Arabidopsis thaliana: one gene and its partners. The protein of the gene in region 1 interacts with the protein of each later gene in a biochemical or structural test. Each region holds a gene or a part of one and is shown in the gene's direction. Other genes may lie near its edges. The genes, in order: XIK, AT1G08800 and DCP1.

Evidence for each region.
Region 2: the proteins of XIK (region 1) and AT1G08800 form a complex in vitro, tested with the Arabidopsis thaliana proteins (one study listed by BioGRID).
Region 3: the proteins of XIK (region 1) and DCP1 form a complex in vitro, tested with the Arabidopsis thaliana proteins (one study listed by BioGRID).

The regions. Positions count from the first base shown.
Region 1 is NC_003076.8:6,934,143-6,940,473, reverse strand, and holds the start of XIK (myosin family protein with Dil), read left to right. Parts: upstream 1-2,643; 5' UTR 2,644-3,093; coding exon 3,094-3,096; intron 3,097-3,909; exon of another isoform or gene 3,910-3,930; coding exon 3,931-4,059; intron 4,060-4,328; coding exon 4,329-4,472; intron 4,473-4,577; coding exon 4,578-4,723; intron 4,724-4,825; coding exon 4,826-4,982; intron 4,983-5,148; coding exon 5,149-5,207; intron 5,208-5,563; coding exon 5,564-5,723; intron 5,724-5,828; coding exon 5,829-5,978; intron 5,979-6,063; coding exon 6,064-6,200; intron 6,201-6,284; coding exon 6,285-6,331. Other genes in the region: AL5 (alfin-like 5), read left to right, coding at 199-483; AT5G20500 (Glutaredoxin family protein), read right to left, coding at 809-885, 977-1,075, 1,223-1,296, 1,665-1,822. UniProt on the Arabidopsis thaliana protein: Myosin heavy chain that is required for the cell cycle-regulated transport of various organelles and proteins for their segregation.
Region 2 is NC_003070.9:2,811,691-2,820,757, reverse strand, and holds AT1G08800 (myosin-binding protein (Protein of unknown function, DUF593)), read left to right. Parts: upstream 1-2,686; 5' UTR 2,687-3,040; intron 3,041-3,118; exon of another isoform or gene 3,119-3,334; intron 3,335-3,599; 5' UTR 3,600-3,679; coding exon 3,680-5,840; intron 5,841-5,999; coding exon 6,000-7,180; 3' UTR 7,181-7,940; downstream 7,941-9,067. Other genes in the region: MYB60 (myb domain protein 60), read left to right, coding at 429-561, 659-788, 900-1,479; AT1G08790 (1-phosphatidylinositol-4,5-bisphosphate phosphodiesterase epsilon-1, putative (DUF1685)), read right to left, coding at 8,112-8,194, 8,280-8,769. UniProt on the Arabidopsis thaliana protein: Membrane-anchored myosin receptors that define a distinct, plant-specific transport vesicle compartment.
Region 3 is NC_003070.9:2,635,345-2,641,938, forward strand, and holds DCP1 (decapping 1), read left to right. Parts: upstream 1-2,692; 5' UTR 2,693-3,010; coding exon 3,011-3,169; intron 3,170-3,249; coding exon 3,250-3,290; intron 3,291-3,377; coding exon 3,378-3,427; intron 3,428-3,562; coding exon 3,563-3,707; intron 3,708-3,908; coding exon 3,909-3,965; intron 3,966-4,116; coding exon 4,117-4,231; intron 4,232-4,421; coding exon 4,422-4,901; intron 4,902-4,966; coding exon 4,967-5,023; 3' UTR 5,024-5,319; downstream 5,320-6,594. Other genes in the region: AT1G08350 (Endomembrane protein 70 protein family), read right to left, coding at 116-261; AT1G08360 (Ribosomal protein L1p/L10e family), read left to right, coding at 887-891, 1,304-1,523, 1,743-1,908, 2,091-2,350; PSAO (photosystem I subunit O), read right to left, coding at 5,660-5,930, 6,148-6,220, 6,317-6,395.

The DNA.
Region 1 (6,331 bases):
CTTAAGTTTCAGGCAGCACAAAGATGTATCTTTAGTTGCAATCATCTAAGCGGCAGGTCTGGAATTACTGTATCAGTATGCAATGAAATGGCCAATTTATCACAAGCTTACCGCTCCAGTGACACTTGTTGATTACTTTTTATAGTTTACTCTCTGCTATTTTGGTGTAGTTAATACATTTCTTGATCTGGAATGCAGAGAGGTTTAGAAAGTAAAAGTTCAAAGACGATACATGCCAAGGATGAGGAAGAAGGATTAGAGTTAGAAGAAGGGGAAGAGGAAGAGGATGAGGATGAAGACGAACACGGTGAAACCCTATGTGGAGCATGTGGAGATAACTATGCTTCTGATGAATTCTGGATTTGCTGTGACATGTGCGAGAAATGGTTCCACGGGGAGTGTGTGAAGATCACTCCAGCTAGAGCGGAGCATATCAAGCATTACAAGTGCCCTACTTGCAGCAACAAAAGAGCACGACCCTAGATGTTTTATTTCCACTAATCTTAGCTACTATCTATTTTGTTTTATTTCCACTAGTCTTAGCTACTCTCTATTTATCCCCCAAACAGTACAATGCACTTAAAGTTTGTGTGTTGTTCAGATAAGTTATTTGTAGCATGTCCAGATTTGATTCCTCAACCCAATTTGTATAACTCAGAATGTGGTCTTTGATAAGATACGTTTAAAAGGCAAGATCAAGCTGTCACAAGGTCATGATCAAGCTGCAGAACACAATACAAATGGAAATTGAATTGCTTACACCTAAGCATCACAGAGAGTGTTATCAATTCTTCCAACTATATATAACCTAGAGTTCAGCTTCTTTGTTCCCGGAAACACCAAGAAGCTTGGCGAGTTCACCGCTCTCATACGCATCTACGGTATCTATAACCAGAAACAAAGATAAATCTATCGATCAGCAAATGTTGGCATAAGCAAAGACGTTTTGTTGAAGGAAAAGGAGTGTTAAGTATACCATCTGATCCTCCGAGATGTTTTCCGTTAATGAAGACTTGCGGTACTGTTCGCCTTCCAACAATCTCTCCAAGTGCAGTCTGGATGCTCCAACCATCTTCTGCAAGACCAAATTTTTACCAACCATTAGTCACAAATGAATCTTCTACATAGTGATCGGACAAAGTTTCAAATGACAGAAATGTCTGAGAGCTAAGAAACATTGTTGGATGATGAAGACATGATTCCCTTTAACCTTAAAACACACCTCTTTCATCAAGCTCGACAACATAAGGAACTTGATCCAGCTCTCTGAACACTGATTTAGCTTTCTTGCAGTAGCTGTTGACCAAACCACAAGGAAGCAAAGGAAAAGTAGAGATGAGTCATATACATAGGTACATGATCTCTCTACACAACTCAATTAAGGCCAAAGGAAAAGCAAAGAGAACAAATACTGAGAACTGAACCTGAATATATCTTAAACGAAAATCCATATTGATTTCAACCACCATTTGTAAACAGAGATAACAAAGTTGTCTCATAAAAATCCAAATCTAACGAATACAAGTTCATTGGGTTCAAGTTTTCACTCATATTTCAGATATTAAGATCTAAAAAACAAAATCGCAAATTGAAGTCACCCAAGATCCAATTTTTCTGCGAATCGGATAAAAAGTGATTAAACATGAGCAGAGAAAGAGACATACGGGCAGTAGGATTTGGAGAAAATGACGATCTTATGGGAAGAGATAGTCTTCTTAACAAAGTCGGCTTCTGGGGACGAAGCAGCAGAAGAAACCATAGAAATGAATGTAACTAGTGCGACGAGCAGCATTACCATGGAGATAGATCTAAACATTGTCATGGCTCCTTTCTTCTTCTTCTTCTTCTTCAGATGCCAATTGAAGACGATGACTTGCAGGATCGATACTGTGGAAAGTAGGTGTAGGTGTGTTGTGGCGGGTACGGTTTAACCCGGCCCATCTAAATAAGGGTCGTATTAAAGCCCAAAATCAAGGTTATTGTTTCAGCCCAACCACTATTACATAAATTGGGTGAACTTAACAAAAACAATTATTTTTTACTGGGCTTCAAAAACATAGAACATTTTTGGAGTATAAAGGATGATAATGATAATGACATGACCAAAGCTGGTATTAGACGTCTTAACACTATCTTGCGGGTTCAATTTGATTTCCGCTAAACTAAGAAAATCATACATCATCCCAAAACCTAAAATTAATATTTGTGTCACATCAATTTTGAATATATGAGTCAAATCATTTGTAAACATTCTTCACAAGTTATATCCTATATTTTTTATAAAAGAGAATTTCAAAAACAGAAACGCTCGTAAGAATTTTAAAATATTTCCACATCTAACCAATCCACTAACGAAGACAAATTAGCCATAATTTACTAGTCTTAATTAAAACAAAAAAGGGGATAAAAGTGTAAAAATGAGCAATTCAAAGGGCAGAGACAAAAACAAAAGATGTAGTAATGTTTTTTTTATTTACGAAACAATCTTTGTTGTTGTCTGTGTGTAGACTCAAAGAGTGTTGTGGGTGGCTGACCACGAATGTGAATGTCCAACTCGATCCACCTCCCTTCTCCTCATTGGACCCCACTTGACCAATCTCAATTCTCAAGCACCAACATTTTTTTTGTTTGAAAACAATACACAAATAATAATTAAGAAAAAAAAGTGTTAGAGAGAGAAAGACACACAGCTCAAAAGAGAACATTGTTGTTGCTCGAGGAGAGAGAAAAACAAAAAAAAAAGCCATTAGAGAACGTCGTCTGCAAAGAAAGAAGAAGGCCAAGTCTAGCTTTCTTTCATTCTGCTTCTTCAACAATCAATCAGCTTTCTTGAGAGAGATTAAAAAATTCATTCAGATTCAGCTTTTTGAAAAGAATTTTGGCTCCGTTAATTCCGATCTCCCGATTTCTCCGTGTCTGCTTTGAGCTGACTTCAAGGAGAATTTTTCTCAGACACACCAACTCGAGAGAATCTGCCCGATCTGACTCGTCTTGTTGCCTGACTCGCTGAGTCAGCTTTCTGCAAAATCGGTCTCTCTTGGATGAGTTAACTGGGAAAAAGAGAGAGGATCTATTGGAAAAAAAGGAGTAGCCATGGTAAAATCATAGATATCATCATCCTCGTCGTTTTATTCAATTGCTTATTGTATTTTCTCAAATGGGTTTATGTTGGATTTAAATCAATTAAACGGATTCATTTTTAACACTTGTCCGATTTGGTGTTCGTTAGTAGAGATATCTTTGTATGAGGTTTGCGTTTTGTTTTCGATCCCTAGTTCGTCTTCCCATTAACACGAGAGATTCTCAATCCAACTATAGTAGAAAAGTTGAATTTTGTTATTTTGGGGAACATTATACAGTGTTATTGAAAGGTAAGGGTCAAGAGTTCTATAACAAGTTGAAGTTGGACCATTTCAGTTATCTTAAATTTCATTTCGTGGACTTATCATTTCCTATTAACATTTCACTTAGCGGCTCTCACCATTTTGGATTACTTCTATTATTAGTAACGAGGTTATGTAAGCTTCTATGTTAGATTACTGTCCCTTTATATATATGTTTCATCAGGAAACTTCTTCAGGTGAGACCATTTTTTTTTTATATACCTAAGTTTTATTTGATATAAAGGCTGAAGATTTAGTTTCCAGAATGAAGGAAACTGAGGGAAATGCGCAGTGTTATGCTATCTTTGTTGTGTTTCTAAGTGAGTGTTGTCTCTAGATTATAGGCAGTGTTATTGTCCTGGTTTTGCGGGAAATTTTAATCTATAACATTAGTTACTTTCGGTTTAGGTTCGTATGTCTGGTGCCATCTATTTCAACTGCTTGAACTGATGATATTTGGTATTTGAAAGAGGAACTTATGTAACAGCTTGTGTGAGGTTATTAAAATCTTTGTACCTCACGTCTTCAATATTTGTATCTTTTGTAGGTTGGCCCAGTCAATATAATAGTTGGTTCTCATGTTTGGATTGAAGATCCTGGAGCGGCATGGATTGATGGTGAAGTTGTCAAAATTAATGGCGAAGAAGTTCATGCACATACCACAAATGGGAAGACCGTAAGTTGTCTATCCTCCTCCCATGCTTTTGCATGTAAATTTCCTTTTGAGAAATAATGTCACTGGAATGAATAGGGTGTTTCTGCTTAGGGTGTCTGTTTAACTTTGAACAAAATGTCACTAGTCCTCTAACCCCTTTCCCTGTGGATACCGTGTTACTCCTCTAACATATGAGTTTTGCATGACATTGACATCCCTATTTCATAATTATATTATACAATCATTGAAACCAGATTATGTATCAATCAATCAATCAAATTTAATTTCAGGTTGTGGCCAATATCGCAAACGTATTTCCAAAGGATACAGAGGCTCCCCCTGGGGGTGTTGATGACATGACAAAGCTCTCATATTTACATGAACCAGGTGTTTTGAATAACTTGGCCATGAGATATGAGTTGAACGAAATTTATGTAAGTTGTTATTCATTTTCTGCACTGATTACTTATGAAATCACTTACTGAGTTCCTAAGCAGTAGAAAACATTCCTAAATATTTCCGTTAAAATATGTTCGCAGACATATACTGGTAACATCTTGATTGCTGTAAATCCGTTTCAAAGGTTACCACATCTCTATGATACTCATATGATGGAGCAGTACAAAGGAGCAGGCTTTGGGGAACTAAGCCCCCATGTGTTTGCCATTGCAGAAGTTGCTTACAGGTTATTAATCCCAATCAATGATCCACTAGCAGAAATTCTCGTAGTCACTCTTTATTCATACATTTCTCATGCTAGTCTATTCTCTTTTGCTTCTCTGGGTAGGGCAATGATAAATGAGGGCAAGAGCAACTCAATTCTGGTAAGTGGGGAAAGTGGTGCTGGTAAGACTGAGACAACAAAGATGCTTATGCGCTACCTTGCTTACCTTGGTGGTCGATCCGGCGTTGAAGGAAGGACAGTGGAACAGCAAGTTCTGGAGGTGAGGCTTCAAAAAAATATGTTTCTTTTATCTTGGCTTTGAAGCTTGTCATGGAGAAGAGTCTAAGCCTTTACACAGATACTTTTAGTTACTGCATTGATATGTTTATAGAGAGGCTTGTAATGCTAGCCTGATTCACTATTTTGGTTTTATTGATGGTATACAGTCAAATCCAGTTCTTGAAGCTTTTGGCAACGCTAAAACTCTCAGGAATAACAACTCCAGGTACGTATGCGTATGTTCACTTAGAGGTTTTCCTTTGGATCTTTCTCTTGAAAAGTTGTCATTAGTTGCACAGTCAAAGTTGTTTTTGGCTCAAAGCTTCCTCAGTCACCACTTGTCACAATTTTGTTTTCTAACTATATAACAAACCCCAAGGCATCAACTGCACTGATGGTACATAAGAAAAATTAATCACATATAAACTATGCTAATCTCTTGGCCTTTTTTATCGGTAAAGTTAGAGAGTAATCAACTCAATAGTAATACTTTTGTACGTGATTGATTATTGTACTATAGAGTTATTTTAAGCTTCAAGGCAGATATCCTCATTGTAACTTTTATTTTCAATCAAAATGCAGTCGATTTGGAAAGTTTGTCGAGCTTCAGTTTGACAACTGTGGGAGAATATCTGGAGCAGCTGTGCGAACATATTTGTTGGAAAGGTCTCGAGTGTGTCAAATATCAGATCCTGAAAGAAATTACCACTGCTTTTACCTTTTATGTGCTGCCCCACCTGAGGTATTGGTGCTACACAATGATGCCAATATACCTTATTGTTAGGCGTTCTGCTTTAAATCACATGATTAAGTGGTTGTGGATTTCATTTATTTTCCCAATCTGTAGGAAAGAGAAAAGTTCAAGTTGGGAGATCCTAAGTTATTCCACTACCTAAATCAATCGAAGTGCTATAAACTGGATGGAGTGGATGACACCGAGGAGTATCTTGCTACCCGACGAGCTATGGATATTGTTGGCATCAGTGAAGAGGAACAGGTCAGTCTTCCATTTACTCCTTTTCCAACAAGAAATGATTTCTCTGGTAGAGCATCTTATTGACCATTCTGATAATTGCTATCAGGATGCAATATTTAGAGTTGTTGCTGCAATCCTTCATCTAGGTAATGTCAATTTTGCAAAAGGAAAAGAGATTGACTCCTCAGTTTTGAAGGATGAGAAATCAAGATATCATCTTGATGTATGTGCTGAACTTCTTAGGTATGTGCAACTTACTTGTTTAATCTCGATTTCTATTTTGTTTCCTTTTTACATCTTTGATCGTGGACTCACTTCTTTCAAAAGGTGTGATGCAAAGAAAATGGAAGATGCATTGATAAAACGTGTAATGG
Region 2 (9,067 bases), on another chromosome or scaffold:
CGAATGTTCCAAATTAAGCAAAATATTGTAATCGATACACTATGTATTCATCTACAATATGTTAACGAGCTCCTTTTATGGAAATATTTCGATTGAAAAAACATTTGATGGATCGTTCACTAAATAAATAATCCAGTAACGTTTTCTTAAGGGAGATATACATATTCGTGTGGAGATCAACATATCTTCGTTAATTGACTACGCAAAATAGTTAATGGAAAAGGCAGAGTGACTCGTGAGCTTGGCAGATCCAAAAGAGGTTGTCAAGAAAAAGCAGATTTAAAAGTTCTTCCCTCTTCTTTAAGTCACCCATTAATTTCACATATATGTACATACATGTTGCATTTAACTCATATACATACATATTCTCACATCTATAAAGAGAGCATAAGACTCAGAGAGATCTAGAGGAAGAGAGAGAGAGAAAGATGGGTAGGCCTCCATGCTGTGACAAGATAGGGATCAAGAAAGGACCATGGACTCCTGAAGAAGATATCATTCTTGTTTCTTACATTCAAGAACATGGTCCTGGAAACTGGAGATCAGTTCCCACCAACACTGGTCATTATCTTTTCTCAACATGTTTTCTTCTAGTGTCTTTCTTTTCTTTGTTTGTATATGTGTCCTGATGTTTGTATCTTAATTTGGCTTTTAAAAGGGTTATTGAGATGCAGCAAAAGTTGTAGACTGAGATGGACAAATTATCTGAGACCTGGAATTAAACGTGGAAACTTTACTCCTCATGAAGAAGGAATGATCATTCACTTGCAAGCCTTATTGGGTAACAAGTAATCTCAGACAAAAGGATCTACATCTCTTTATACTTGAATGTTTTGTGTATATATTTTGATGATGTGAACCCTAAACTGGCTTATTTGTTTACATATGGTTGTGGTAAGATGGGCGTCCATAGCTTCATACCTACCACAAAGAACGGACAATGATATCAAGAACTACTGGAACACACATTTAAAGAAGAAGCTCAACAAGTCTGACAGTGATGAGAGGAGCAGATCAGAGAACATTGCGCTGCAAACTTCTTCGACAAGAAACACCATTAATCATAGATCTACCTATGCTTCAAGCACCGAAAACATTTCCCGCCTTCTTGAGGGTTGGATGAGAGCGTCTCCAAAGAGTAGTACAAGTACTACTTTCTTGGAACACAAAATGCAGAACCGGACAAACAATTTCATCGATCATCACAGCGATCAGTTTCCATACGAGCAGCTTCAAGGTTCTTGGGAAGAGGGTCATAGCAAAGGAATCAACGGGGATGATGACCAGGGTATAAAGAATTCAGAGAATAACAACGGTGATGATGTTCATCATGAAGATGGTGATCATGAGGATGATGATGATCATAATGCTACACCACCATTGACATTTATTGAGAAATGGCTTTTGGAGGAAACAAGTACTACTGGGGGTCAAATGGAAGAGATGAGCCACTTGATGGAGCTCTCTAATATGCTTTAATTGTGACATTTTCTCCTTTATTTTTTCTTTATCCTTGTGAATCTTATAAATGAGACTACTAATTTTATATACACAAATAAAGAAACCAGAAAGACATAATATCATGTGTTGTTTTTTGGTTTCTCTAAGATATAAGTAGCTAAAATGCTCACTGCATAAGTTGTAACTAATCTAAAGTTGTCTACCCATTTACATGAATAAAATCCAATTTAAGACTTGTAATACTATTCAAATTTCTTTTACAAATACATGATATCTATACTTCATCTTTAGAATCTACCAAGTCGAATCTACAAATTCAGGAAAATATCAATTCAAAGCTAATATGCATTAAACCCTCATGCTTAAGAATGGTGTAGGTCTAAGAGAGTTTTTGCTCGCAAATCACATCAATTCGAGAAACGTTAATGGGATGCGTTAATATATTTGGGAACTCGTGTTGCCTTTTAGTCCATAAAAACAAGATGAATGAGAGAAGTATTAAAAGCTTTATTCATACACAAAAATGTGTGATCTTTATATTTTAAGAAATGAGAAACAATAATGAATGGAGAAATGTAGGACCTCCATAACTAATTAAGGATTGATAAGTGTAAATGAAAGAGATGAAGCCAAACGTAACGATCACTTGAAAATGGCGTTAATATAATAAATATACACATTATCCTTGTTCCGTTTATCATTCTTCATGCAAAGTTATTAAATACATCCATGGCCCTTAATTATGACGTTTGAGCTCTTGGTAATGTAAGCAGTGGACAACCAAATAAAGCTATTGTTTACGGTTCCTAATCTAAATAATAATTAACAATCAAATGCAAGTCAAATATGAGCAACAAGAGAAGATGGAAGCACACAACACAGCCAAAACTTTTGGTGGGTTCTACTATTTTTTTCCGTCCAAAAAGGCAAAAACAGATACAAAAATTGAATACAAATCAAAAACAGTTAATTAAAAACTCAAATCTGATTATATTCATTCAACTACTCTAATAAAAAAAATATAATTTTTGTATTTTATTTTATTTTTCTTTTTGAAATAAAAAAAATAGTTCCCACACTCAAATTGCAACTTTCGGCAGCCGTTTTTGTAATCAGTAGCCGACTTTCCTGTCTCTCTCCACATCTCACCATCTTAGTTTTCAATCTTTTGCCTAACATTTTATAATTATTCGGAAAGGAAAATAAAACTAAGTGATTTAATTGTGAAGACTAATAATTATAAAATGTTATTTAAGGACTAGTAGTACCAATATTAAGACTTTTTTTTAAGTCTGTTATGTTAATCTTTTTGTTTTCCCTGGTTTGGTCAATAAAATAGATCTCTCTCATTCAATGTCTCTCACAAAGAATTTTATTAATTTTAAAATTAAGTGATTTTAGTTGTGAAGACTACGTGCAGTCCTTGCTGGGTCTGCCTTTTGAGTTTTTTAAAAATATATAAATGGGATCAATGTTCTCTGTGAAGCTCTCCCTCAAAAATCACAACTTTGCTAGATTTTGGATTTTCACTTTCTACTCTGTAATTGAGACTTACTCTGGCGATCATCATGATCAAAAGGTTAGATTTTTCTATAACAGCGCTTATATTTAGTTGGATCATATAAAATATTGTGGGTCTTGATCGTATGATTGATCCATTTAGTATTTCTTCTACACACAATTCTAATTCTGATTTTGTTGAGCTGTCAATTGTTCTTTTTAGATCTCTTTTCCTTTTTGTGGCAAACTTTTGATTTAGAGTGGTTTAAAATCTTTGTTGGAATTTATTTTTGCTTCAATTGCTGACTTGAGATAAATATTTGATCTTCCTGTACTCTGGAGATAAACACTATTAAGAAGGCTAAATAAAAACGTAAGCTTTATCTTGTTTTGGTCAACTTTTCTGTTCTTGCTTCTGTTTGTCCCAAATCTGCAAATATCATTTGTAAATCGGATTGGATTCTGGATATTAGTTGTCTTTTCTGCACGAATCAAGTTTGTTTCATTATCTCAAATCTCTTTATCAACTTTAGTCTCATTATATTTTCTGAGTAGAATCTTGATGTTATTGATTCAATATTTTTCTCATATTTTTGTACTCTTTACTAATTGTTTGATGTGTATCTACATTGATGCAGATTTGAAGCCTGATTGATTCTTGATCTTATGTTTCTGCAAAGAGTTGGCTACTAGACAAACGTCTGCAGTAAAATTACAGATGGGTTCACGGAGTTTCACTAGAGCTTTGGCATTAGCCTTTAATGAGTGGCTACTGATGTTCATGCTCTTCGTTAACTCCATATTCTCTTACGTGATCGCGAGGTTTGCAGATTACTCTGAGCTTCAATCTCCATGTCTGATGTGCTCAAATCTTGATCATATTCTCAGGAGGACAAAAGATTTGAAGAAAACTCATTGGGATATTATTTGCTCTAAACACAAATCAGAGATCTCTTCATTGGTTTACTGTCATGCTCACGGCAAGCTTGTTGATGTCCGTGGAATGTGTGAGACTTGTCTTTTCTCGTTTGCTACAACCAATAAGTCCAATGCTGAAACTTACAGATTGTTGGTTGGTAAACTGGGTGAAGATTCTCACTTCGGATCCAAGAGTGATCGAAGCAAATATCCAAATTGCTCTAAGCTTACAGATTGTACATGTTGTAATCAGTTGTGGACGCCTCAAACCGCTGCTACTCAGGTGGCTGAACGGGAAATTCTACCCAAGATTGGTTTGCTTGGTAAAATAAGAACCGGGAAGCAGTCTGCGCCCAAGAAAAGTGTCAGCTTCAATCATTTGCCTGATGTTGGGTACACTGAGCTAAAGATTCATTCAGATACTGAATCAGAGGCTGTGTTTTCAGATACTGAACCAAAGCAAGAATCTTCACTTAACCATTTGCCACCTGTTGGGTACAATGAGCCCAAGATTGGTTTGGTTGGTGATGTGAGAACCGGGAAACCATCTACACCCAAGAAGAGTGTCAGCTTTAATCATTTGCCTGATGTTGGGTACACTGAGCTCAAGATTCATTCAGATACTGAATCAGAAGCTGTATTCTCAGAAGATGAATGTGTCGTCCTTAAAGATGAGGATCATAAGTATCAAATAGTGGATCTTCAGACTCATCCGATTATCACCTTGCCTTATGATTTGGCTACCGACAAGCTGCTAAACTTTGATTTCCCTTTGGAGCCCTTCGTGACTCGAAATGACCGAGAGGAAGTTCAGTTGCAAGAGACCAATTGGAGGACTTATTCCTCATTTCCTGTGCTTATTCCAGTTAATGATGTGCCTGAAACATCAGAGAAGGTGTTCAAGGAGGAAGAGATCAATTCATTAGATAATCTTTTCTTAACATCACGCGCCATGAAACATTTTGCAGCTGCAAAGGTGAAAGAAGAGCCGATTCGCCTCCAAGATATTTCCTCAACACCAGATGTTAAGGAAAATCCTGCAAATGCCTCCTTGATGGAGGAGACTGAGCTTATTTGTCTCAGTGATGTTACTGCAACATCAGGCGCCATGGAACATTCTGAAGTTATTCTAAAGGAAAGAGAAGAACTGATTCACCTCCAAGATATTTCTGTAACACCAGATTTTAAGGAAAATCCTGCAAATGCCTCCTTATTGGAGGAGACTGAGCTTATCTGTCTCAATGATGTTACTTCACCATTACGCGCCGTGGAACATTCTGCAGTTCTTTTAAAGGATAAAGTAGAGCCGATTCGCCTCCAAGATGGTGGTTCTTTAACACCAGATTTTATGGAAAATTCTGCAAATGCCTCCATATTGGAAGAGACTGAGCTTATTTGCGTCAATGATGTTACTTCAACATCACGCACCATGGGACATTCTTCAGTTGTTTTAAAGGAGAATGAAGAGCCGATTCGCTTCCAAGATAGTTCTTTAACACCAGATTTTAAGGAAAATCCTGCAAGTACCTTCTTAGTGGAGGAGACTGAGCTTATCTGCCTCAATGATGTTACTTCACCATCACGCGCCATGGAACATTCCACAGTTTTTATAGAGGAGAAAGAAGAGCTGGTTCGCCACCAAAATATTACATTAACACAGGATTTTATGGAAAATCCGGCAAATTCCTCCTTAAGGGAAGAAACTGAGCTTATTTGCCTCAATGATGTTACTTCAACATCAGAGGTTGCTGAAACTCCTGAAGATGTCTTAGAGGGAATTGAACTTATGTCAATCCATGATATATCTCTAGACGAGGTTTCTGAATCAGTCACTACAAATCAAACCTCTGTTGAGATTTCAAAGGAGAGGGACACTGACCAAGCTGATATTACCTCTCTGGAATCTGAATATATAGTTGTACCATCTCCAAATTCCATGCCTGAAAATTCAACCGATAATTGTAAGTTTAAACTTCCATTTAAATGCAAGACTCTTATGTGTTTTCTTCTCCAGCTTTGCATGTATGATGGCTATGAACTGTAAATTAAAGATATATAGTGCTTAAATTATACACTAGTAGGTATGGGTTTCTGATAAAGAAAATGAATTTTCATATCAGGTGTATCAGATAAAAAGGAAATGAAAGAGACATCTCTTAGGATCTCTTCATTGTCTGAAATGGCTCCACGGGACGTCACTTCTCACACAGAAGCAGCTCTTGAGTCAGAATCTTCTTCCTTCAACTCAATGTCAGTGGCAGCAGAAACAAACCAATATTCAGGTGAATTACTGGATCTTGCAGATGCATACAATATCGTTGTAGGAAACGAAGGTCACTATGATAGTAATGGAAGACAACAAATAGAGAATTGGATGAAGAAAGATACGTCTAGAGTTAGCGAAGACCTTAAAGCACTTCTTACTCAAATATCAGCTTCTCGTGGGATAGAGTTTTTGTCACCTAGAGATGTAAGCCCCAAGATTTCTGTTAACAGTAGCGATCAAGAGACAAAGAACCTAGATCATGATATGCAGCTGCTACTTCAAAAGAGAATGCTTGAAAGGAACGAGAGTAACTTATCGTTGGAAGGAGTTTCTGTGACTGAAATCGAGGGTGAAAGTGAGGGTGATCGGTTGAAAAGACAGGTTGATTATGATAGGAAACTGCTGACTGGTTTATATAAAGAATTGGAGGAAGAAAGAAGCGCTTCAGCGGTTGCTACAAATCAAGCAATGGCTATGATAACGAGGTTGCAGGAAGAGAAGGCGTCATTCCAAATGGAGGCTTTGCAGAACCTGAGGATGATGGAGGAGCAAGCAGAGTACGATATGGAAGCAATACAGAGACTGAATGATTTACTTGTTGAGAGAGAAAAACTAATACAAGATTTAGAAGCTGAGATTGAATACTTCCGGGACCAGACCCCTCAGAAGAAGAATAAGCTAGATGTTGCAGAAAAAGTGACCGAGATGGATTCCCCTAGTGAGGGAATGAGCAACAAGATACAGAGTTGTTTAGTTGGGTTCGACGAAGAGAGATTATACATCACCAGTTGTCTGGAGAAGATTGAAAACAGAGTAAATGGCAAGGCTCATGACGATAATCTACCAGCACAAGAATCTGTTTCTGAGCTACATGAGAGAGTAGAAAGGCTGAAGGGAGACTTATACTTCCTAGAACAAGTTATGAATTCTCTTGGCCATGGAAATGAAGGCGTGCAATTTGTAAAGGAAATAGCTTCTCATTTGCAAACTCTGCGGAGTCTCAGCATGAAAAGACAAGATCAGACTGAGTGTTGATGTCCTGAGTAACAATCTTCACAAAGGTATGTTCTTTCCTCTTCCCTGATTGTTGTGTTGATTTTGTTCTTCAGATAACTTCACCTGCGGAAATTATAGCTCTTTGTACAAACATCTTATTATTCATATGTCGTTCTGGTTTTTTAATATGTTAGACACCTTTGTGGAGAGGATATTGTAGAGGAAACTAAAAGAAGTTCAAGATTCAAGAAGCTTAAAGAAACTGTATAGCATCGTCTTCATTGCCTTCCCCTTTCGTATACGATAATCTCAGAATTCTTTACGATTTCATTTTTGGGTTTGGTGTTCATAATTTCCTTATGGGTTTTCATATTCTTTGTGTTTATTTTGCATTTTTCTTCTAGTTTTGAGTGAAGAGTGAATGTAGGTTTTGTTCTGAAGTTCTCATTTGATTTTTTTTATTAGGTTGGTTGATACTTTTGTTTAGCATGTCAAAAGTCATGCAACTTTGTTAAACTTGTTGTACATTTCTTCGTTATAAACTACTTATACGTAATGTCCTTTGTTAAACTCATATTTCTTTGTTGGTGTTAGGACCTCGAATTTGGAAAATAACAAGAAGGTTGATACGCATAATACAAACTTACAAAAGACAATTAAAAGAGGAAGAGAAGCCAAAACCTAATATCTAAAATATTTTCTTACTGTTAAAGTAGTGATATCTAAAAAATTAAAAACTGTCTTTGGCGAAAAAAAAAAGGGTTCAAGAATAATAACATGTAAGACCACCATGCATCATTCTTATTTCTTCTTTTAGTTTGAACTTCAATAATCCGTCCTCCTCTGTCTTAACCAACTCCTTAATTAATCTGTCTTAAGCTTCCTTAATTTCTACAACACTTCCTTTGTCTCAACCAAATTTGTGTAGTATCATTCATGTCCCACTCTTGTACATCTCTCACTTCTATGCTTAATTGGAAGATTGTATCACAGAACATGCCACAGCTTGTGCCCAATGCCTCAGTCTCGTTTTAACCTGTTGAGGATCATCTCCTGCAAATTTATAGAATATAACATCAAAACACAATCATATTATGAAAATATCAATCTGACGAAAAAGTTTAGGTTGCTATGTTACCTGGAGACATAACCTTCAAAGAATCAGAGTCGCTTATTGGACTACCAAAAGAGGAAGATCGGTCTCCGAGGGAAGTAGGACGGGAGGATGAAGAAGATCCACCACTGCCTGGTGTAGAAACCGGCGAGATCTGACGAGTCACAGCGAAGTAAAGGTCCAATGCAGGCAATGTAGTTGTAAGATGTTGCCCTTGCTCCTCGTTAAACCCGAACCCTAACTCAATAGATCCTTTGAGCTCACTCAAGTCCTCGTCCGTCAAGTCATCTCCTCCTTCGTTATGCTTCTCAAGGTGATGGAGCATCTGGCGACGGCGACGCTCCCATGCGATGTCTCTACGGGTCTCTAACATGGAGAGTTGCTTCGAGAGACGTTTCTTAGCCTTAGCTTTCGGTGGTTCCAATGGCATCTTTTGAAGCTCTTCTACTTCGCTGTCGTAGAAAGATGACGACGATGAGGTTGATACACTCAATGCTTCTCCAACCCTCACCATCTTTCTCTGTTGTTAATATAAGAAATCGCAGGCACGTTTATGATTATCAACAAGGGGCAGAATATTTTTGTGATGATGTGCCTTGTTGTACAAGTTAGCTCATGTAAGCGAGGAAAAACAGAAGAACTTGAATAGATTAGTGAAAATCCCAGAACTCTGATTCCCTTTAAAAAATGTTCATCCCGGAAGAAGAAAAGGGGTAAGAAGTTTTTTCTGTTTGGTTTATTTTATTAATGTACAGAAGGAGATATGTTTTCTGGTGAACTTTAATGGTGTGATATTACAAAACACAGAAACA
Region 3 (6,594 bases), on another chromosome or scaffold:
TATCTTACACATTCTCTAACTTGATCTCCTCCTCTTAGATTACTCACCCGTCATCATAAGCCAATAAAAAGCAAAATGCATAAGAATTACCAAAAGATTTGAATTTGAGAACAACCTCGGATTGTGGAGAGGACCCACTTTGTTGACGAACAAAGGGACATGATCGCCGGCATTATAATGGTTCGACGAGCCTGATCCGATTCCGATCCAGAAGGTCAATGCAAGTAGGACTTGTAGTACAGTAAGCAGAAATTGCGCCATGAATTGGCACTCTTCTTCTGCTGGGTTCCAAAAGAAACGAATCAATATGTGCAACAAGAAGAGCTCCAGAAGCAGTCATCTTCTAAAATCTTAATCTAACAACAGCTCAAGAAGAAAAAAATTCCATAGCTAGAGAGAACACAAAGTCACAAGACGACGTCGTAGAGGCACAAAGTCAAACCTGAATGGCTTAAGCCGAACTGAGTGGTTTTGACTAGACCATCATCAGAAAAGTCTCCAAGACGGTAGTCGGATGTTAGATCGCTCAAGTAATTTTTGGTTTTGTTGGTCTCACGTTTTCAGCTGCCCATTTGATTTCAGTTTGGGCTTTTCCTTATCTCTAAAGGCCCAATTTCATTTAGGTTTAGTTTATTTGATCATTATCCTTACTATAAAGGCTTCGCCTTTCGAGAAATTTAGGGTTTCTTCTGTCTGTCTCGTCACTCAGGTTTGTGCCTCAACGACTGCTTCACTTCTAGCTTGATTCTTCTTCTTCGTTTATATGTATACTGTACATTAGATTATTCTTGTTTCTCGAGCTTCTGCTATAGATTTTGATTCTTTTTTTTGTTGTCTTTGTTTCGTTTCCAGGATCAGATCTTAGCTAAATTGAGACAAGCTCAAAATGAGGTACTTGACGCATCTCTTACATTCACTGTTTAATTAGAGAACAATACGTCTCTGAATCGTGATTCAGAGACGTATTGTTCTTCTGTCATATGCAATAAGTTTAATTAGAGAACAATACGTCTCTGAATCGTGATTGTTTTTTGGATGTGCGTTATTGATAGCTTTATGATGTTAATAGTCTAGGATTGACACGAAGTTGTTCTGCAGTTTTGCATAAATGCTCTTTACTAAGGCCTCTAAATTTGGATGACAAATCTAAATCTTGCCTCATAAAAATTTAGGTGTATTAAGATAAGATTATTTTGTATGGTAGTGTCTATAATGTGGGTTGTTCATGTTGAGGTTGTCAATGTTGTGTATTTTTGTTTGTTTAGTTAATTTGCTTAACTCTGTTCTTTGTGGGTTAATACAGTAAGCTTCAGAGTGAGGCCGTTCGTGAAGCCATCACTACTATCACAGGGAAATCCGAGGCAAAGAAACGTAACTTTGTCGAGACTATTGAGCTCCAGATCGGTCTGAAGAACTATGACCCTCAAAAGGACAAGCGTTTCAGTGGATCTGTCAAGTTACCACATATCCCCCGTCCTAAAATGAAGATCTGCATGCTCGGAGATGCCCAGCATGTTGAAGAGGTGATATATCTTTTCATGGAAATTGATCATTTTGTGCTCTGTTTCTTGTATAATGGTTTTGTGCTCATTTCATTTGGTGGCTCTATTAGTTTCATTTGATGTTGTATATGTCTTCTGAATGTAGATGCATGATGTTTTCGGAATTTGGTCATTGTTTATTTAGGCTTCATTTCTTGCATAATTAAATATTTGCTTATTTCATCTTGTATCTTTTCGTAGGCTGAGAAGATGGGGTTGGAAAACATGGATGTTGAGTCTCTAAAAAAGCTTAACAAGAACAAGAAACTCGTCAAGAAGCTTGCAAAGAAATACCATGCTTTCTTGGCCTCTGAGTCTGTCATTAAGCAGATTCCTCGTCTTCTTGGTCCTGGTCTTAACAAGGCAGGCAAGTTCTGGCTACAGCTAATATTCCATTGTTCTTCTTTACATCCGTTTTGATTTTGGATAGGTTTTAGTAGTCTATTTCTTTTGTCAATGTCTTTTTGATACAATGCCAATCCTTTATCCTGTGAGATTATGCTTCTTTGATGATTCTTAAGTAACATTCCTTTGCTTTACTTTACACAGGAAAATTCCCAACTCTTGTGAGCCACCAGGAATCCTTGGAGTCAAAGGTGAATGAAACAAAGGCAACAGTGAAGTTCCAGCTGAAGAAGGTTCTGTGCATGGGAGTTGCAGTTGGTAACCTTTCAATGGAAGAGAAGCAGATCTTTCAGAATGTGCAGATGAGCGTCAACTTCCTCGTCTCGCTATTGAAGAAGAACTGGCAAAATGTCAGGTGTTTGTACCTCAAGAGCACAATGGGACCACCACAAAGAATCTTCTGAGCTTTCACCTACTTAAAATTGGTGGCTATAAGACACTTCTTCTTACCCTTTCGTTTTTGTTTCAGACATATCTGTTAAACAGTGTAAGAGTTGTGCTGCTACTCTCCTCTTTAGCTTTTGGTTTGGATAATTTGAAATAACTGCAGTGATTTTGGTTAATGGATTTTGTAGCTTATATTATCTTTGAATTAGATGTGCTTATTTCAAAGACGAATCAATCCACAGATGTGAATAAAAACAGAAATTTTCGTTTTCAATTTGAAAATTGTCCTCGTGGACTGTTCCATAACCAAATTCTATTGACTATGCAGTAATTGATCTTTGAATTAAAAGGATCAACCCACTGATTATACTCCAATTGAATAAATATTCTTCTTTAATGTTGTTTATAATCTCTTAAGCAAGCTCTAATGATGTATTTTTGAAGCAAACTCTAATGCTTTTATGGTCAGTATATTTATTCTCTTAAGTTTTATAACTAAATTACCATTTTTTTTTGCCAAAGCAGACAACAAAATAGCGAAGTGCGTTCCAAAAGTTAGCGTTTTCGTCTCCGTCCCCAAATCTCTCAGCTACCTTAAATCAGAATTCTAGGGTTCTTCCGATTAGGGTAAAATCGAATCCAGATTTCCCAAAATTCTGATCTTTGATTTATAAAAGATGTCTCAAAACGGGAAGATAATCCCAAATCTGGACCAAAACAGTACGAGGCTCCTCAATCTCACAGTTCTCCAGCGGATCGATCCATACATCGAGGAAATCCTCATCACAGCCGCTCATGTCACTTTCTATGAATTCAACATTGAGCTCAGCCAATGGGTTAGTCTCAATCAATCTTCGATTACATAATTTGATGTTTGCTTCCCTACCTAATGATTGATCTGTCTTTTGTCATTCAGAGTCGTAAGGACGTTGAAGGATCTTTGTTTGTTGTCAAAAGGTTACTACTTTCGATCTTTAACTATGTGTATCTTATCTTTAATCGTCTTCTCAAATCTGATTGGATCCTTTTTTTTGTTTCTTTCAGAAGTACACAACCTCGATTTCAGTTTATTGTGATGAATCGTCGTAATACAGGTCAGGATTTATTCAAATAAAGTTGGTGTGTGTCATGTGTCTAGAAAAGGTTTAGATTTAGTAATATATTGCAAGTTCTTATTTAAGGATTCAGTATTAGTAATCATCAGTGTGTTGCTGTATTTGTCTGGATAGATAATCTGGTGGAGAATCTCCTGGGAGATTTTGAGTATGAAGTACAAGGTCCATATTTACTTTACCGTAATGCATCTCAAGAAGTAAATGGCATTTGGTTCTACAATAAACGTGAATGCGAGGAGGTAGCAACTCTTTTCAACAGGTATGTATATATAAGTCACTGCATATCAGGTAGAAACTGTTGGTTTCAATTGTTGGATCATGAATAATATCAATATCGTCTTTTATTTGCCTATTATCAGACAGTTACTTGTTGGCAAATATAATGTTCTTGTATATTTGTATGAACTTGAAATTACTCTTACTCGTTGTATCTCTGCCTAATGGTTCCTTGGCATGACAGAATACTCAGTGCATATTCCAAGGTTAACCAGAAGCCAAAGGCCTCATCTTCAAAGAGGTAATATTTTCATGATTAGATTTAGTTAGTACACCATTAGTTGTTTCTTGGATGTGTTTTCTTTGAGGTGGAAACTTGATAATCTAAATCATTTTTCCCGCTGTTATATCTCTTACTTGTTAAATTAAGTTAGATTTTCTATGTACTGCAGTGAGTTTGAGGAATTGGAAGCTAAGCCTACAATGGCAGTTATGGATGGTCCTCTTGAACCATCATCAACTGCTAGGGATGCCCCTGATGATCCTGCTTTTGTCAACTTCTTTAGCGTAAGTTTCTAAAGCTTCTGTTACACACTCACACTATCATCTTCACCATGACAGCATCTTATACGACTAATGGCAGGAGGGCTTTCTATTAGTTCTAGCCTTCTAGGTTCTTGAATTATCTTCAGCGTAGTATATGGTCCAACTTAGACTCCTCAAATTGTAACACTGAATTTATCTAAATTGTTGACAGTCAACGATGAATCTTGGGAACACTGCGAGTGGGTCAGCAAGTGGACCTTACCAATCATCAGCGATTCCTCACCAACCTCACCAGCCTCACCAACCCACCATTGCTCCTCCTGTAGCGGCAGCAGCACCTCCACAGATACAATCACCACCGCCTCTACAATCCTCCTCTCCTCTGATGACTCTCTTTGACAACAACCCTGAAGTTATCAGCAGCAACTCCAACATTCACACAGATTTGGTGACGCCGTCTTTCTTTGGCCCCCCACGAATGATGGCACAGCCACACCTCATTCCTGGTGTATCTATGCCCACTGCTCCTCCTCTCAATCCTAATAATGCGAGTCACCAGCAGCGGTCATATGGTACTCCGGTGCTCCAGCCTTTCCCACCCCCAACTCCACCACCATCACTCGCTCCTGCACCCACTGGTCCGGTTATCAGCAGAGACAAAGTGAAGGAAGCCCTTTTATCCCTGTTGCAGGTTCGTCCTTTACCACATCACTTTATTTGAGCTGCTGTGCAAACCTAACGAGTTGCTTTTGACAGGAGGATGAATTCATTGACAAGATTACCCGAACTTTACAAAATGCACTTCAACAATGAAGCTGCGCTGGTCAGCATCTACGTGTGGGATAGTGGCTGTTTGATCTAGAATGTGTAGTTAAAATGTAGTTTTGTTCCCTCTGAAAGTGTTGTTGGAACCTTATAAGATACTGCACTGCCCCCTTTGTTTAACTCTTGGAATTACTTTTTCATTTTATCTACTTTCAAGTTTTTACCTTTCCTCATCAATTTTTGTTTCGTAGTCGAAAGACATGTTAAAGACTTTAGATTCACAAATCTTCATGCATGTTTAGAGTTTATTGGAACATATACACATCAAGATTAATACAAAAAACATGAAAGAGTAAGAAGAAAGAGAGATAATTTTTCTATTTTTTAAAAGATTCGAGATTGCAAGACAAAAACTGTTTGTATGGTTCAAGTCAAAGACGTATTGTGATGTTTCGTTTTGAAGTATTATCCCAATCTTTTGTGAGCTTTCCCTCGAGAAACGCTTTTAACATTTAATACTTTAGTTAGACTGACAGACATTCTTAAAATCAAGATCATATAAGAAAGACTTGTCGAGATATAGAATGAAACATCAAATAGCAAAGAAAGCTTTGTTTTGATTGATAATATTACACATAACCAAGAGAGAGCATATAGTACAAACGAAAACAAGAATAGTTATCCTTAGAAGTAATCTTCAGTCCTGCCCTTGAATCCGATTTGTCCGAAAGTGAGGCAGAGGAAGAGGCCTAAGTGCCACGTAACCAACCACAACCAGAACTGTGAAGTGAGAGCTGGAGGAGTCGGGAAGTGAGCGAGCTCAGTTCCGATGCTATCGAAGAAGAGACCCGTCAGGCTCTTCCCATTTATCGCTGGAATGCTCGACGGAGCTAGCCATCCGATCAGCCCAAATCCTACCACGTTCAAATCTCTCCTCAACCAGTTCCTCTCAAAGCTTTAATTCATTTTTGACACAAACAAATAAATTTATTAGAAAATACCCTAAAAAGCACCTCAAAATTAAAACAAGCTTTATTAAGTTCCTAAGATCAGTTAGGACTCATTCCTATATCTTAAGTAACATAACTAGTGATACTTCTGGAGTTTTAAGCATTTTCATAAAATGTGATATCTTTGTTATTACTATGAGAAGAAAATAAAGAGTAACCTACCAAGTGACTCTTCCTCCCGATGCACCGGCGAGTCTCAAAGGGTTCTTGGCGCTTAATGTTGGTTTTAAAAAGGCTAAAAAACATACGAGAAATCACAAATCAAGATTATCATATGCATATATATGTTTGATTGAAATTATTCGAAAAGAGAAAGAGAGAAAAAGAGTACATGAAGAGAAGGGTTTGGTGGTGATGGATGATCCTCCGAGGCCTATCACCGTCGATGGTGTTGCAAATGTTGCTGCCATTTTTCTTCTTTGCTGCTTTCTCCCAAACTGATCTCCTTTATTTTTTTAAGTAAATACAACACAAACACAAGAAATAGATTTTTATTCTGTGGACAAAGAGAGAGATTTCGAGGATGTGTTATCAATCAATAGCTTTGTGACACCTCATTATTTTCTTTGATATTGTGGGTCTATTTCTTGGATAAGATTGATTCCAGAT